Linked DNA regions of Saccharomyces cerevisiae S288C. The protein of the gene in region 1 binds, or shares a complex with, the protein of each later gene. Each region holds a gene or a part of one and is shown in the gene's direction. Other genes may lie near its edges.

What was found.
Region 2: the proteins of BET1 (region 1) and SEC24 are in contact, whole or in part, in a crystal structure (PDB 1PCX), measured with the Saccharomyces cerevisiae proteins. Residues at the interface, in NP_012262.3 of Saccharomyces cerevisiae: Leu51 (codon at 2,510), Ala52 (codon at 2,513), Leu54 (codon at 2,519), Glu55 (codon at 2,522), Ser56 (codon at 2,525), Gln57 (codon at 2,528), Ser58 (codon at 2,531); in NP_012157.3 of Saccharomyces cerevisiae: Arg230 (codon at 2,812), Arg235 (codon at 2,827), Tyr237 (codon at 2,833), Glu295 (codon at 3,007), Tyr296 (codon at 3,010), Thr297 (codon at 3,013), Leu298 (codon at 3,016), Gln494 (codon at 3,604), Glu555 (codon at 3,787), Val557 (codon at 3,793), Arg559 (codon at 3,799), Arg561 (codon at 3,805), Leu582 (codon at 3,868), Ala614 (codon at 3,964), Leu616 (codon at 3,970), Arg624 (codon at 3,994).
Region 3: BET1 (region 1) and UFE1 share a complex: the UniProt entries of both Saccharomyces cerevisiae proteins name them as parts of the SNARE complex.

Annotation. Positions count from the first base shown.
Region 1 is NC_001141.2:346,822-350,733, reverse strand, and holds BET1 (Bet1p), read left to right. Parts: upstream 1-2,228; coding exon 2,229-2,239; intron 2,240-2,370; coding exon 2,371-2,788; downstream 2,789-3,912. Other genes in the region: phosphoinositide 5-phosphatase INP51, read left to right, coding at 1-143; CMI7 (Cmi7p), read right to left, coding at 224-433; iron-sulfur cluster assembly protein CFD1, read right to left, coding at 731-1,612; protein disulfide isomerase EPS1, read right to left, coding at 2,937-3,912. UniProt on the Saccharomyces cerevisiae protein: SNARE required for targeting and fusion of ER-derived transport vesicles with the Golgi complex.
Region 2 is NC_001141.2:156,155-162,289, reverse strand, and holds SEC24 (COPII subunit SEC24), read left to right. Parts: upstream 1-2,124; coding exon 2,125-4,905; downstream 4,906-6,135. Other genes in the region: YIL108W (putative metalloendopeptidase), read right to left, coding at 1-1,403; HPM1 (protein-histidine N-methyltransferase), read right to left, coding at 5,112-6,135. UniProt on the Saccharomyces cerevisiae protein: Component of the coat protein complex II (COPII) which promotes the formation of transport vesicles from the endoplasmic reticulum (ER).
Region 3 is NC_001147.6:466,081-470,482, forward strand, and holds UFE1 (Ufe1p), read left to right. Parts: upstream 1-2,131; coding exon 2,132-3,172; downstream 3,173-4,402. Other genes in the region: SGO1 (Sgo1p), read left to right, coding at 1-463; CDC21 (thymidylate synthase), read right to left, coding at 595-1,509; SKI7 (Ski7p), read right to left, coding at 3,297-4,402. UniProt on the Saccharomyces cerevisiae protein: Syntaxin required for targeting and fusion of Golgi-derived retrograde transport vesicles with the ER.

The DNA of each region.
Region 1 (3,912 bases):
ATTTAAAAAAATGGTGGATTGGAAGTGGGAAGCAAGTTAAAGTAGTTCTTGACGTAGACCCGGCCGTTTACATGATTAATCCTAAAAGAGATCCCAATCCATTCGTTGAGAACGAAGATGAGCCACTTTTTATAGAAAGGTAAGTAAATGATCATTAGTGAAAAGATTATATATAAATATATTTATTTAGCGTTCCTTCCCTATGCGGCTGTGAGCGTACTCTCTATTTTTGGCTGGAACTTTTTGCCAAATCATTGTTGTCCCTGTGTAGATCTTCTAACTGAACTAACAGAGAGTCCATTTTCTTTTCCATTTCATCCAACTTAAGTTCGACTTCCGAGATTTTCTCTTCTCCTCCTTTTAGTAGGTTCAAAACATCTAAAATATCCTTTGCGCCTGCAGTACTGACATCTTCGGGTGTATCACGAGTCATATTATTGACGACGAGTGAAGTGTTCTGCGATTTCTCTAGAGTAATTGATTCAGTTGCTCTTTCTCAAAATTGTGTGATTAAATATTATTTCTTTGTCAATATTTACCCGGCCTTTTAAATTTGTATCACCACTTGAAGAACATGCTGCAGTTGCCGGTTAGCTTCTAACCACCTTTCGATATAGGAATCGAAATAGGAATCGAAATTTATTTCTAGGCCCAAGGATCAAAATATAAGTGTATATAAACACACACACACACATATATATATATATACGTACATGCATAGGAGAGGATCTTATTTTGGAGATTCTATCTGGGGTTGCTCGTGTTTATCCACAACAGGGGTTGTAGTGTCTTGTTTCCTCAGTTTCTTCATTATTTCTTCAAAAATGGGACAAAGAGATGATTCTCTGTACATTTCTACAAGCGTTTTTTTACTTGAAACTTGATTCTCAATCATTTCTACAAATTTTGGATCTATAGGAACGTTACCAAGGTATGGGACAGAAAATTGCTCCGATAATCTTTTACCACCCCCACTGGAAAAGATATTTGTACACTCAGCACAATGCGGGCATACAAACCCTGACATGTTTTCAATTATACCGAGGATCTTTAAATCGACCTTCTTGCAGAAATTGATTTCTTTTTTGACATCAGCTGTTGCAACACTCTGTGGGGTAGTTACTACAATACCACCATCTGGTTTGGAATATCTCAGCTCCTCTGCAATCGATATATGTTCATCCGACGTTCCCGGAGGGGTATCGATCAGTAAGTAATCCAGTTCACCCCAGGCGACGTCAGAGATGAATTGTTTTATCATAGAAGTCTTCTTAGGACCCCTCCATATCACGCTGTTCCCTCTATCACCTAGTAGAAACCCCAATGATATTACACTAAGAGAGCCAGTAGAGTTTGTCTCCACTTTCACAGGTTGCCAACCTTCAGGACCTTGATATATAGATTCGTTCTCTAGGCCAAACATCCTCGGTAAGGATGGCCCTGTTAAATCAATATCTAAAACTCCAACTTTGAAGCCCATACTGCAAAGAGTCAGCGCAGTCTGTGTCGTTACCGAACTTTTACCGACACCACCTTTTCCGGAAAGGATCAATATGATATGTTTTATTCCTGCCAAAGAGGCCGCAGGAACGCCTATCTCCTGTTCCTCCATGCTTAATTGTAATAGTCGTATTAGTTTTGGGTGCTCCTCGACGCATGTGTATAGTTTTCATTTTGATGGTGTAAAACGTTCATGACTAATGAAGCCTTCCGATTTCTTTCCATTTTGCTATTACTTGCGCGATGAGCCGTCTAATGTGATTCTTCCAAATAATATCTAATAAACCCATGGTGTTTACTCTGTGATAGGAACCAAAGATCCCGTAATTATCGCTTTGTAATTGTATTTCCAGTTATTTCTGTACATTCTAGGTTACTGTTCAGGGATATGTTTCACTCTTATCGATGTGGCGTGCAAAAAATTTGAAGGGGCGACATATCAGGGAAAGTATTAGTGATTTTTTATAATGTTGCACTATCTCAGATGAAATTTATGCATGCTAATTGGCGGATACTACTCTACCGTTGTTGCAAGCTACGTAGGAACGTTCACGGCTCTTTCTTCCATTAATTTTAAATTGCGAAAGTATCCAGTAGTTGTTAAAAATGGAGTTTTTTCAACTCGCGCCTTTTGCCAAGGAATGGTAGAAAACAAACAGTAGTTCACTTGAGACTGTGAATGTGTTAGAAAATGTGATTGAAGAGCCTCACAACACTAGGCTACACAGATGAGTTCAAGGTATGAGAAATTATTAGACTATTCTAAAGTTAGAGTAGCGCTTTTTGTTAAACATCTACCATAACACCTCGATATTGGGAGTTATTGACCACGAGTGAACTTCGTTTACTAACTATAGCGTGTGTATATAGATTTGCAGGGGGAAACGCTTATCAACGTGATACTGGTAGAACACAGTTATTCGGACCGGCTGATGGATCAAATAGTCTCGATGACAATGTATCATCAGCGCTAGGGAGCACAGATAAATTAGACTACTCCCAAAGTACTTTGGCATCTCTTGAATCTCAAAGTGAGGAACAGATGGGAGCTATGGGTCAGAGAATAAAAGCACTCAAGTCATTATCGTTGAAGATGGGTGATGAGATTAGAGGCAGCAATCAAACTATTGACCAGCTTGGTGATACTTTCCATAACACTTCTGTAAAACTCAAAAGGACTTTTGGAAACATGATGGAGATGGCCAGAAGATCTGGGATCAGTATAAAAACATGGTTAATAATATTTTTTATGGTAGGCGTGCTATTTTTTTGGGTATGGATTACATAAATATTTGCATATTGTACATTAAACCTAAGTGACAAAATAAGAGCGACGTTTGTTAGATGATTGTAGATATTGATACGTGAAATAAAGGATAGTTATGATAGCATCATAAGATATCAGCATTCTTTTATTTTTATAACTACTTAAGCGTTTAATCTTGATTTTTTTTTTTCTCCATATTTCCTAGGATACCGACAGCGTTCCTTTTCGCCCTATAGTGTTTCCTTACTTTGTATCTTCTGTAAATAGATGGACCTTTGAGTATTGCGATAAACAAAACAATAACAATTAAGTAACCGGGCATGCCGTTCCCGTGGATTATGTCTAGGAAACTGAGGACATTATGGAATGGAGAATTTATCAATCTCCCCTTCAACTTAGAGCTGTATAGAGCTTTTGATGGAATATTTAAGGACACGAATGCTTCTCTCAGCAATTGAGGGTTGTTAGAAGTCAAGGAGTTGCCAAAATTATCTTTATTGTAGTAGTAATTATTTGATTTATCAATGATAATCACATCACCAATTTTATATTCTCCAGTAATACCATATTTTCTAAAAAAATTCTTCTCCTTTGAAATATCTAAATATCCTAATAACAATTTTTTTTGATCCATATGGGGAATCTCTTCACGCATTTTATCAACAATTTTGTTAGCCGGAGCCTTTTTTTCCTTTATTTTCTTGATCCCGTCTGCTTTCCTTGCCCTTCTCTCATTAATTTCTTCGAAGTTATTTTCCATCCGAATATGTTCATACTCCCAACTTGCGAGGAGCAAGTTTTTAATAAGCTTGTTGCTTCCTTTGATATGTTTGTGGTCAGTGCTACTTATTAACTGAATTGCTAAATCACTGTAGCTCTTGGTTTGGAAGGAAATTAATTTTTTCAAATTAGAAGAGTCAACTTCGGTAACTAAGGGATTAGAATACTTTTTTACCCAATCCATAATGGCATCAATATTTCTCATTTCTGTTGTGGAGTATCCGGGGAAAACATAGGATATGGGATCACCATCTTTAAACATGAAAAAAGTTGGGAGTTGCGTAACCGTATTCATAGTAAAGTATTCTTTGTTAAAAACCTTTTGAGTTTGGCTGGCGTCGTAGTTGATCTTTTCATACATTCTT
Region 2 (6,135 bases), 190 kb from region 1:
CGTAAATCATCTAATGTTACTATAACTTCCCGTTGAGGCCCCTGTCCACCTAGGGAAACCGGCAAGTATTCAATATGGCCCCTGGCCAAATCATCACATATAATTTCAATCAAATAGATTCCTGTGGGCGATAATATGCGGCAACTGCCGTTACCCAAAGGATATACAGAGTGTTTTATATTGGGGTATCCGCCCAATTTTGTAGGTCTCATGAACGATGGATCGTAATAATCCTGTGGTAAAGTGAAAGAGGGGTGGTACAAAAATCTTACCGTATCGAGACGGTTCCAGGTACATTCTTCCTTGGGGAAGATGGGAGGACTAGCACCAGTTGAATTAGTTCTTACAGAATAAGCCTCTTTAGTCAAGAAAGACCTATTCAAAGTGGTATAGCCTCTTAGCATAACACCGCTTTCCTGATGAGGACAACCCAGTAAGTGACCAATCTCATGCATAAATGCTCCCAACGTGATAGTCAAACATTCCCAGTAAGTACCACACTCATTACAGTCGTTGGCGACTTCACTGGTGGAGGATCTTGTCTCATCAGTAAAATAAGGCACCAATTGCTCGAGACAAGTAGGCCATGAGTAAAGCCCGTGCGACCCAAAAATGGCGAGCTTAATGCTGTCGTCACCCCCACCCAATGCGGCGTGGCCTCTAATCAACTTACCATCCCAGTGGGTGTCTAGAAACATACAAGCTGCCTGAACAGGCTTTTCGTTATTGGTGAAGGGTCCGCCGTAACTTTTAAGGGCGTCCATGGCTATCCCAAAAAGGGCGCCGGTGTTTTTCCCTTTGGAATTCTGTTGAGCTATGTCAGGGTCCTGGATTTCCTTCACCGTCTTTTCCGAACGAACTACATGTATTTTGATGGTGTTTCTCATAGCAGGCCGTTCGAACAGCGTGTCCCAGGTAAATTCTTCAACAAAGGGAAACGTCCTATTTCCCATACTGTTTCTCAGCATTTGCTCGTTCGTGTACGCTTGCATGAGTCTGGCCCCAAGTCTTAGCTTCTTGATTGCCAATTCGAGGCCATTCCCGCCCTCTCTGTCCTTCTGTTCTCGAGGAGAGTCAAACTGTAAAGGCGAATCCTTGGCCAAGATCAGACACAGGTGTACGGGAGGGTTCTGCGTCAGTGGTGTGTAGTAACATACGATTGTCCTAGCGGTGTTAGTGTCTGTAACAAAGGTCAACTTGTTCTCACCAGGAGTCAATATCACAGTGGCCTTGAAGAACTGATTATGTATGGGGTAAGTAATTGGAGGCAATTGTGGATGCTGCACTTGAACGGTCTTCGCACCATTTTGCTTATTGCATTTTCCGTGCACGATAAGACAAGGAGAAACGATTTGCTCGTTCTCTCTCAGGTTGAATAGATCAATATCCTTCGAGCCTACCATTTATTTCTTTCTCTTCGAACTACTACTTCCTTTTTTTTTTTTTACTGTATACGATCTAATAATAAGAAGAAAGAAGAACTCCTTTTAAATTTCCTTTTTCTCTCTATTTTCCGGCGACCGCTACTCTTAAACGTCCAAACCAAAAAAAGATCGAGAGAATTGACTGCGCCAAGACACATGAACTTCTGAAACCTAAGAAAGCCTGACTGTTCCTAAGGTGATCTATATTTATATACAACATCATGCTCTTAAAAGAATAGGTTACGTAATTAATTGATGGAAAATTTCAGCAAATTTCCGCCTAGAATGCCGGGTAACAAAAAAGTAATTAGTGCTATGTTTGGGTGATAGAATCGTGTCACAAATATACATAGCACTGACAAGTGTGCATTTTGCACTAACCACTGCTATAAGTTTTTCAGCTTAATGCAGTCTATTCAGGCACTATCTGGGCTTGAAAAACAGTCTTGGACATGGCCACTGGAGCAGATTTGTTAACGCTTAGCTGTTCTCTTTTTTTTTTTCTTGTTTTTTCCATTTACGGCAGAAGAAAATGAAAACTGGAAGAACGAAAACGAAGAAAAACAAAACTATGTAAGGAGGATGGTACATCAGGAAACAGGCCAAAAATAGCACTACAAAAAGGTTTTATCTGGCACTCAGGTCCATTTTTGCCGCATTGAAACAGACATAAATATATAAGTCTGAGACCATCTGCAAAATGTCTCATCACAAGAAACGTGTTTACCCACAAGCTCAGCTCCAGTATGGACAAAATGCCACCCCTCTACAACAGCCAGCACAATTCATGCCTCCGCAGGATCCTGCTGCAGCTGGAATGAGCTATGGTCAGATGGGAATGCCGCCACAGGGTGCAGTCCCTTCCATGGGGCAGCAACAATTCCTAACCCCTGCTCAAGAACAGTTACACCAGCAAATTGATCAGGCCACCACTTCCATGAACGATATGCATCTGCACAACGTACCGCTAGTCGATCCTAACGCTTATATGCAGCCACAGGTTCCCGTGCAAATGGGCACACCTTTGCAGCAACAGCAACAACCAATGGCAGCGCCTGCGTATGGCCAACCTAGCGCCGCAATGGGCCAAAACATGAGGCCCATGAACCAGTTGTATCCAATCGATCTGTTGACGGAATTGCCTCCTCCAATTACCGATCTGACCTTGCCTCCCCCACCGTTGGTTATTCCTCCAGAAAGGATGTTAGTTCCTTCTGAATTGTCCAATGCGTCTCCAGATTATATCAGGTCGACCTTGAACGCCGTTCCTAAGAACAGCTCCCTGCTGAAGAAGTCTAAACTTCCATTTGGGCTTGTTATCAGACCATACCAACACTTGTACGACGATATCGACCCGCCTCCATTGAATGAAGATGGACTTATTGTCCGTTGTCGTCGTTGTCGTTCTTACATGAACCCTTTTGTCACTTTTATCGAGCAAGGCAGAAGATGGAGATGTAACTTTTGTCGTCTGGCCAATGACGTTCCTATGCAAATGGACCAGAGCGATCCAAACGACCCAAAGAGTAGATACGACAGAAATGAAATCAAATGTGCTGTGATGGAATATATGGCCCCAAAGGAATATACTCTAAGACAACCACCTCCAGCCACTTACTGTTTCCTGATCGATGTCTCCCAGTCCTCTATCAAGAGTGGGTTACTGGCCACTACCATCAACACCCTTTTGCAAAATCTTGATTCCATTCCAAACCATGATGAAAGAACCAGAATTTCCATCTTATGTGTAGACAACGCCATTCACTACTTTAAAATCCCATTGGATTCTGAAAACAATGAAGAGTCCGCCGATCAAATCAACATGATGGATATTGCCGACCTGGAAGAGCCTTTCTTGCCCAGACCAAACTCTATGGTTGTGTCCTTAAAGGCCTGCAGACAAAACATTGAAACTTTATTGACCAAGATTCCTCAAATCTTCCAATCTAATTTAATCACAAATTTCGCACTGGGCCCCGCTTTGAAATCCGCTTATCATTTAATTGGTGGCGTTGGTGGTAAAATAATTGTTGTGTCAGGTACTTTGCCCAACTTAGGCATAGGAAAATTACAAAGGAGAAATGAAAGTGGTGTTGTTAATACATCCAAGGAAACTGCACAACTACTTTCCTGTCAAGACTCATTTTATAAGAATTTCACCATCGATTGTTCTAAAGTACAGATTACTGTCGATTTATTTTTGGCTTCTGAAGATTATATGGACGTTGCATCACTATCGAATTTGAGTCGTTTCACTGCTGGTCAAACGCATTTCTATCCTGGTTTTTCAGGCAAGAACCCAAATGATATTGTCAAATTTTCCACTGAGTTTGCCAAGCACATTTCCATGGATTTCTGTATGGAAACCGTAATGAGAGCCCGTGGTTCCACAGGTTTGAGAATGAGTAGATTCTATGGTCACTTCTTCAATAGATCATCTGATTTATGTGCATTTTCCACCATGCCAAGAGATCAATCATACTTATTCGAAGTTAACGTTGATGAATCCATTATGGCTGACTATTGTTATGTTCAAGTAGCGGTACTTTTATCTCTGAATAATAGTCAACGTAGAATAAGAATTATAACATTGGCTATGCCAACCACGGAATCGTTGGCAGAAGTCTACGCATCTGCTGACCAATTAGCTATAGCGTCGTTTTACAACTCGAAGGCGGTGGAGAAAGCATTGAATTCCAGTTTGGACGATGCAAGAGTATTGATCAACAAATCCGTGCAAGATATCTTAGCCACGTACAAGAAGGAAATAGTGGTGTCCAACACTGCAGGGGGGGCCCCATTGAGGTTATGTGCCAATTTGAGAATGTTCCCATTGTTAATGCATTCTTTAACTAAGCATATGGCATTTAGATCTGGTATTGTCCCAAGTGACCATCGCGCCTCGGCCTTGAACAACTTAGAATCATTACCTTTGAAATATCTAATCAAAAACATCTACCCTGATGTTTATTCGCTGCATGATATGGCTGATGAGGCTGGGTTACCAGTGCAAACTGAAGATGGTGAAGCTACTGGCACAATTGTTTTGCCTCAACCAATCAATGCTACCTCTTCGTTGTTTGAAAGATACGGTCTATACTTGATAGATAATGGTAACGAATTGTTTTTGTGGATGGGTGGTGACGCTGTACCAGCGCTAGTATTCGATGTGTTTGGAACACAGGATATCTTTGACATTCCAATTGGCAAACAGGAAATACCTGTTGTTGAAAATTCTGAATTCAATCAAAGAGTAAGAAACATTATCAACCAATTGAGAAACCATGATGATGTCATCACTTACCAATCATTGTATATTGTTAGGGGTGCCTCTTTGAGCGAGCCCGTTAACCATGCATCTGCTAGGGAAGTTGCAACGCTAAGACTATGGGCTTCTAGCACCTTAGTGGAGGATAAGATTTTGAATAACGAAAGTTACAGAGAATTCTTACAAATCATGAAAGCCAGAATTAGCAAATAAGGCTAAAAGGGAATCAATGATAAAAAGAAACTGTATATTTTTGTTGGTTGCATTTTTGCTTTCCAATTATATTATGTATATTGAACAGTTACTTTAATTTTTACTTCTATATTTCTTTTCTATTTTCATCCATGTTATAAATAAAAGATACAGTAAAAGACTTATGGATTAACTTAAGGAAATGAAGTTGAAACAAATTATACTAACTATCGGATAGCTTTATTTGTTTCAATGCATATAATCGACCTTTTTAAGCCAGAGTTAACTTTAAACCTTTCAGAATGAATTGGTAGATGTTCGGAGTTTATTTTGTCGTCCAAATAAGCTTCAAATTCAGTGATGCTACCACCGACTCCAAAATAAATATCCTTTGCGGCTACGTAAGTTTTGACATCGGTTTGTGGTAAATTGTGTATGTCAAGTATTGTTTCCGCTATAACGGGCAAATTGTCAGGTTGATAAATTGTTTCTGAGGATAATGAAAGGACTTTTTGGCTACCTGAGAGTACTTCATGGATCAAATTACTAAATTTACGTCCCCACGATCCTGATATAAGAGTGACGCTGATATTCCTGCTTTGTACATCGTCGTAAAAGGCAGCTAACAGCTTTGAGGTAAGAAGCAGTTCCTCATTATTTATTGGAATATCTTCACATTCGTCTTTCTGTAAGGCGTACCATTGTTCCTTTGTCAAAACCGTTTTAGCCCATGTTATAACCAAATTCGGTATGGTAACTAATCTTAATACACTGGCATTATAGTCAGTCAAAACAAACTTTAAACCTTTACTTCTATCATTCCGTAGAAGAGCAGATCTGAAAAGAAACTCTGAGGGTAGTGCCGTACCACAGCCTATTTCGACAACCGCGTCGATATCGTTGCTTATTCTATCAACGTTCTCTGACAACAAATCAACTAAATCATAAGAGCACTCCCATGATTTCAACCCACCTTCATAGATGTTCTTTCTCAAATCTTCAGAAGTATCACCTAGTAAAATGTCCAGTTCCGTGGAGTTGTTGTTGGATTGGGCATCTGTCTCTAACATTAGCTGATGTTTGACATCGAATAGTTCCCTCTTGATCAATGGTTTTCTATATATCGGAGATTGGAACTCTTCAAATGTCAATCTAACATCCTTAAGACTTTCCAATATTGTTCCTAGGTCTTCCACATTTGGCTGCACAACTCCAGCTTGCGACAAGAAATCCGAATCTAATGGATTGATG
Region 3 (4,402 bases), on another chromosome or scaffold:
CGTCTCAAAGGATTATGGAACTCCAAAAGGGAAAAAAACGGAAGATGAAATACACGAGGATACCGCTCATCTAATGACCACTTCCAACAACAACAGCAACAACAAAAACGAAAAAAAACTAACTAGCAACAATAGCCCTAAAAAATCGTCGCCTTTACTTGACATTACAAATAAATCGGAGAATAAGAAAAAGTCAACAAGAACTAAAAAATTGTTCAAAAATGCAATTGTCAATAATTTATCTGATGAAAATTCTACTACGCGACCCTCCAAGTCGTCAAAGGGAACCAGTAATAATAACAACAATTACAACAATTTCGACAATAACAATTCAAACATTAATAATGTTAATAATAAATCTGTTAGCTTTAGACTAAATGAAGATGATTTAGCAGTATTTGATTTATTTGGAAATGGTAAGGCAGTGAAACATCAACCAAAAACATATCGCACCAAAAAATGATATATAGTCTTTTTGCCCTGGTGTTCCTTAATAATTTCTATATTTTTGCATAATAAACCATTGTATTATATACATTCGATTTTGTGTGTATATACGTAAGTACATGATTTTGTTTCTCCTCGTGCTGTCAATTATACACTCATTTTCATTTGAATTCTTGGATGAGGATTATAATCTTCAATTTCAAAGTCTGTCAACTTGAAATCATCAATGTCTTTAACGTCCCTTTTAATCTTTAGTTTCGGGAATGGTCTTGGATTTCTGGTGATTTGTTCTTTCAAGGCATCAATGTGGTCTTTATAAACATGTGCATCCCCCAAAGTATGAATGAACTCACCTGGCTCCATGTCGACAACTTTAGCAATCATTCTAGTCAACAAAGCATATGATGCAATGTTAAATGGTACTCCCAACCCCATATCACAAGAACGTTGGTACAATAAGCATGAAAGGCGGGGCTTACCGGATCCTTCTCCTTCTTTGGGGAAACTGACATAGAACTGTGAAAAAATATGGCATGGCGGCAAAGCCATTTTGTCAAAATCAGCTGGGTTCCAGGCACTCATAATGATTCTTCTATCGTAGGGATTTGTCTTTAGTTTATGTATAACCTGTTTCAATTGATCAATACCTTGTCCAGTATAGTCGTCATCGCACGTCTTGTATTTAGCACCAAAATGCCTCCATTGAAATCCGTAAACGGGCCCCAGATCTCCTACTTTCCTATCTTTGAACCCCATCTTATCTAAATATTCACGAGATCCATTACCGTCCCAAATCTTAACACCTTGCTCAGACAATAGGTTAGCGTCTGTATCACCGGCCAAAAACCACAATAGTTCAAGTATGATACCTCTAGTAAAAACCTTCTTGGTCGTTAGTAGTGGGAAGGTATCATCACGTAAACTAAAACGCAGCTGGGGTGGTGCAAAAAGACTCAACGTACCAGTGCCTGTTCTATCTGGCCTAAATTCACCTTCATCAATGATTCTTTTGCATAGATCAAGATATTGCTCTTCTTCTTTGTTTTTTCCGTCCATAGTCATCCTGTACCGTTCTGTTATGAAGCTCTCTCCTTGATACTTTATTGTTTGATATACACAGTCACTTACAAGTTTAGAAAATACAATTACAGCTATGCTATAGTAAATATTTCAGGAAACGCGTCAATTAAGGTCTTTTTCATTTTTTCTATTTAACGCGTCACCAAATATTAAGTTTGAGAAAGAAGGTCAAAAAAGCAACACCTCTTCCAACCTGTTCAATGCGGTCCTACGTTGAGGACACAAAGCTAATCTCTTTGAGGTAGCTGCAGTATAATGACGGGACCTTTGCATATTTTATTGGCCTTTTCCAATGAAACTAATTTTTTAATTGAATCTCAATCCCGTCCTTTACAGACGAGAGGGGAAAGAAGCTTGTTCGCATGATCCATCCTGGAATATGGATACATGTCATGTAATGATAAATCATTCCTACCTTTGCTGGTATCTTTCTGAAAAGGGCACATTTAATTAAGAACTGCCAACAAGGAAAGATCTCCGTTACCCTACCCAACTTGTGAGCTCAGATGAATGAGAATAACTAGAATACATACACATACGTCTAGTATCATTTCCCCCGGTGCTGGGAAATCACCCGTAAAAGCAGTGAAGAGCTTATTAACTCATGATGTCTGATTTAACACCAATATTCCGTAAGTATGTTGCTGTTATCGATGATGCTAGAAATGAGCAAAATGGTATAGATGATCATGTTGAAAGGAAACAAGAGGACTTCGGGAATTCTAATGAAACGTGTGAAATGTTTAGGGATTCGTTTATTAAGGAATGTGCAAGACTATTGAAGTTCCTAGTCGAATTAAACAAGGTAATAAAACAGATTGAAAAAAACTATTTAGATGACTTTAATATGAGTGATGCGGAAAAGGACGAGTTTGACATGGAATGCAGGCTGCAAATTCAACAATATTTCAAAAAGTTTGAATTCCTAGAGAATTACGAAATGGAAAGGCATAATTTGTCGCTGAAAAGATTTCAGTCAAAGTCTCACAGATGGTCAAAAATACTTTCCAATAAAAACGACAACACTAAGCATGTGATACATCCGCAAGACATTGAAAATGGAGTTTATGAATTTAGATTAGGTGTCCTACGGTGTTTGAATTTGTGGATAAAATATGTTTCATCCAAATTCACTACCATACAACAGGAAAGATTGATATTAGAAAATAAAATGAATTTCAATTCAACGCCTATGCCTACTTTATCCAACAATGCGGATGATTTCTCTGCAGATGCAATAGACATCTCAGTGTCACAATCTGCTCCCGTAGAAACTGTACAAGACGAAGTAAAACATTATGAAGAGACGATATCCAAATTAACCCAGGAGCAACTACAAGTGTTGGAGACAGAACATTCGGAACTGCTAAATCAAAAAAATGAGCAATTGAAAAAAGTGGAGACTATAAACAAAACAATTTTAGACATTGTCAATATACAGAACGAATTGTCCAATCATTTAACGGTGCAATCTCAAAATATAAACCTAATGCTGAACAATCAAGATGACATTGAATTGAATATTAAGAAGGGAAATAAAGAATTACGTAAAGCGAAACGAGCTGCTGGAAGAACTGCTAAAATGACCACTTATGGTGCCATTATCATGGGTGTTTTTATATTGTTCCTAGATTATGTAGGTTAATATCACTTTCATAAGATATGTGTAAAATGGGTTAAAAAAATCAATCTATCATCAACTTATTACTATTCATTTTATATATTAAACAATAAGTATGAATGCCTAGTATAATTTCTTAGTTGTAGGATTACTGGCATGCAATTCTGCCAACTGCGATAACCTTATGATCTATTGATGTTAAAACAATATTGTTGGTAATGTATTTGGAATCAATCACATTAAGAGCAAAGTCTGGTTCTATAATTTCGACTTCGACAATAAGTGACTGATTTGGATTAATTGAGATGTCGTTAGTCCCGAGAATCTTCACCAATTTTACCGCGTTGTGCGTCAAATTATGGTAAAGAAGCAATTCAGAACCCAAGTCAACGGGATCACTTAGCGCGTGCGTTTGTATTGATAATTTTATTAAACGCAAGGCTAACAACTTTAGTGTGTTTGGTAAATTCGGTGATAGTGTATTCGTCTTTCTAGAGTGAATTATTATATCACCCTTACGAATGTGAAATTGCTTTTTCGTGAAGTCTTCGGTATTATGAATCTTAACAAGAACCTCTAAAATGTCAGGGTTCAAACCGACTGATATATTATTTTTTGTGTTAGTCTCCAGTATTTGTTTTGAATTCTTCATTCTTGAAACTATACCATAGTAATGAAAATCTTCATATTGTGTATGAATTTCAATTGTCTGGCCTGATTGAATATATCCGCTGTTGATCAAGACTTTGAGTGACACGTAATTTATCTCCGCTATCGGTTGAAGAACAGAAGATTGCAGTATTGTGCCTACAAATGGCTCTTCCAAAGTTGTTTCTATTTTGTTCATATTATGCTCTACCAATAGATATAGTTGCGAAAAAAATGTCGGACCTTCATACCATTCGGGAACATAATTTATAGAGTCAAATTCTGACTTATACTTAGATTTTGTGATGTTTTCAGTTTTATTCAAATTCGAACCTAATAAACCCGAACACGGGATAAATTGGAATTCTGCGTCTGTCCACTGAAAGTTTTCCTTCAACACATAATTTAGCTCAGACTGAATCATTTCTAGTCGGTGCTTATCCCAACTAATTAGATCTGCCTTATTCAAAAGAATTATCAAGTGCTTTTTGCATGCGGAATTCTTGTTCAAATAAGAGATCACTTTTAAAATTTCATAAATCTGATTATTTGGACCATCTAATGATTTTTCCCACGAGTCATAATTGCAATCAATAACCAATACAT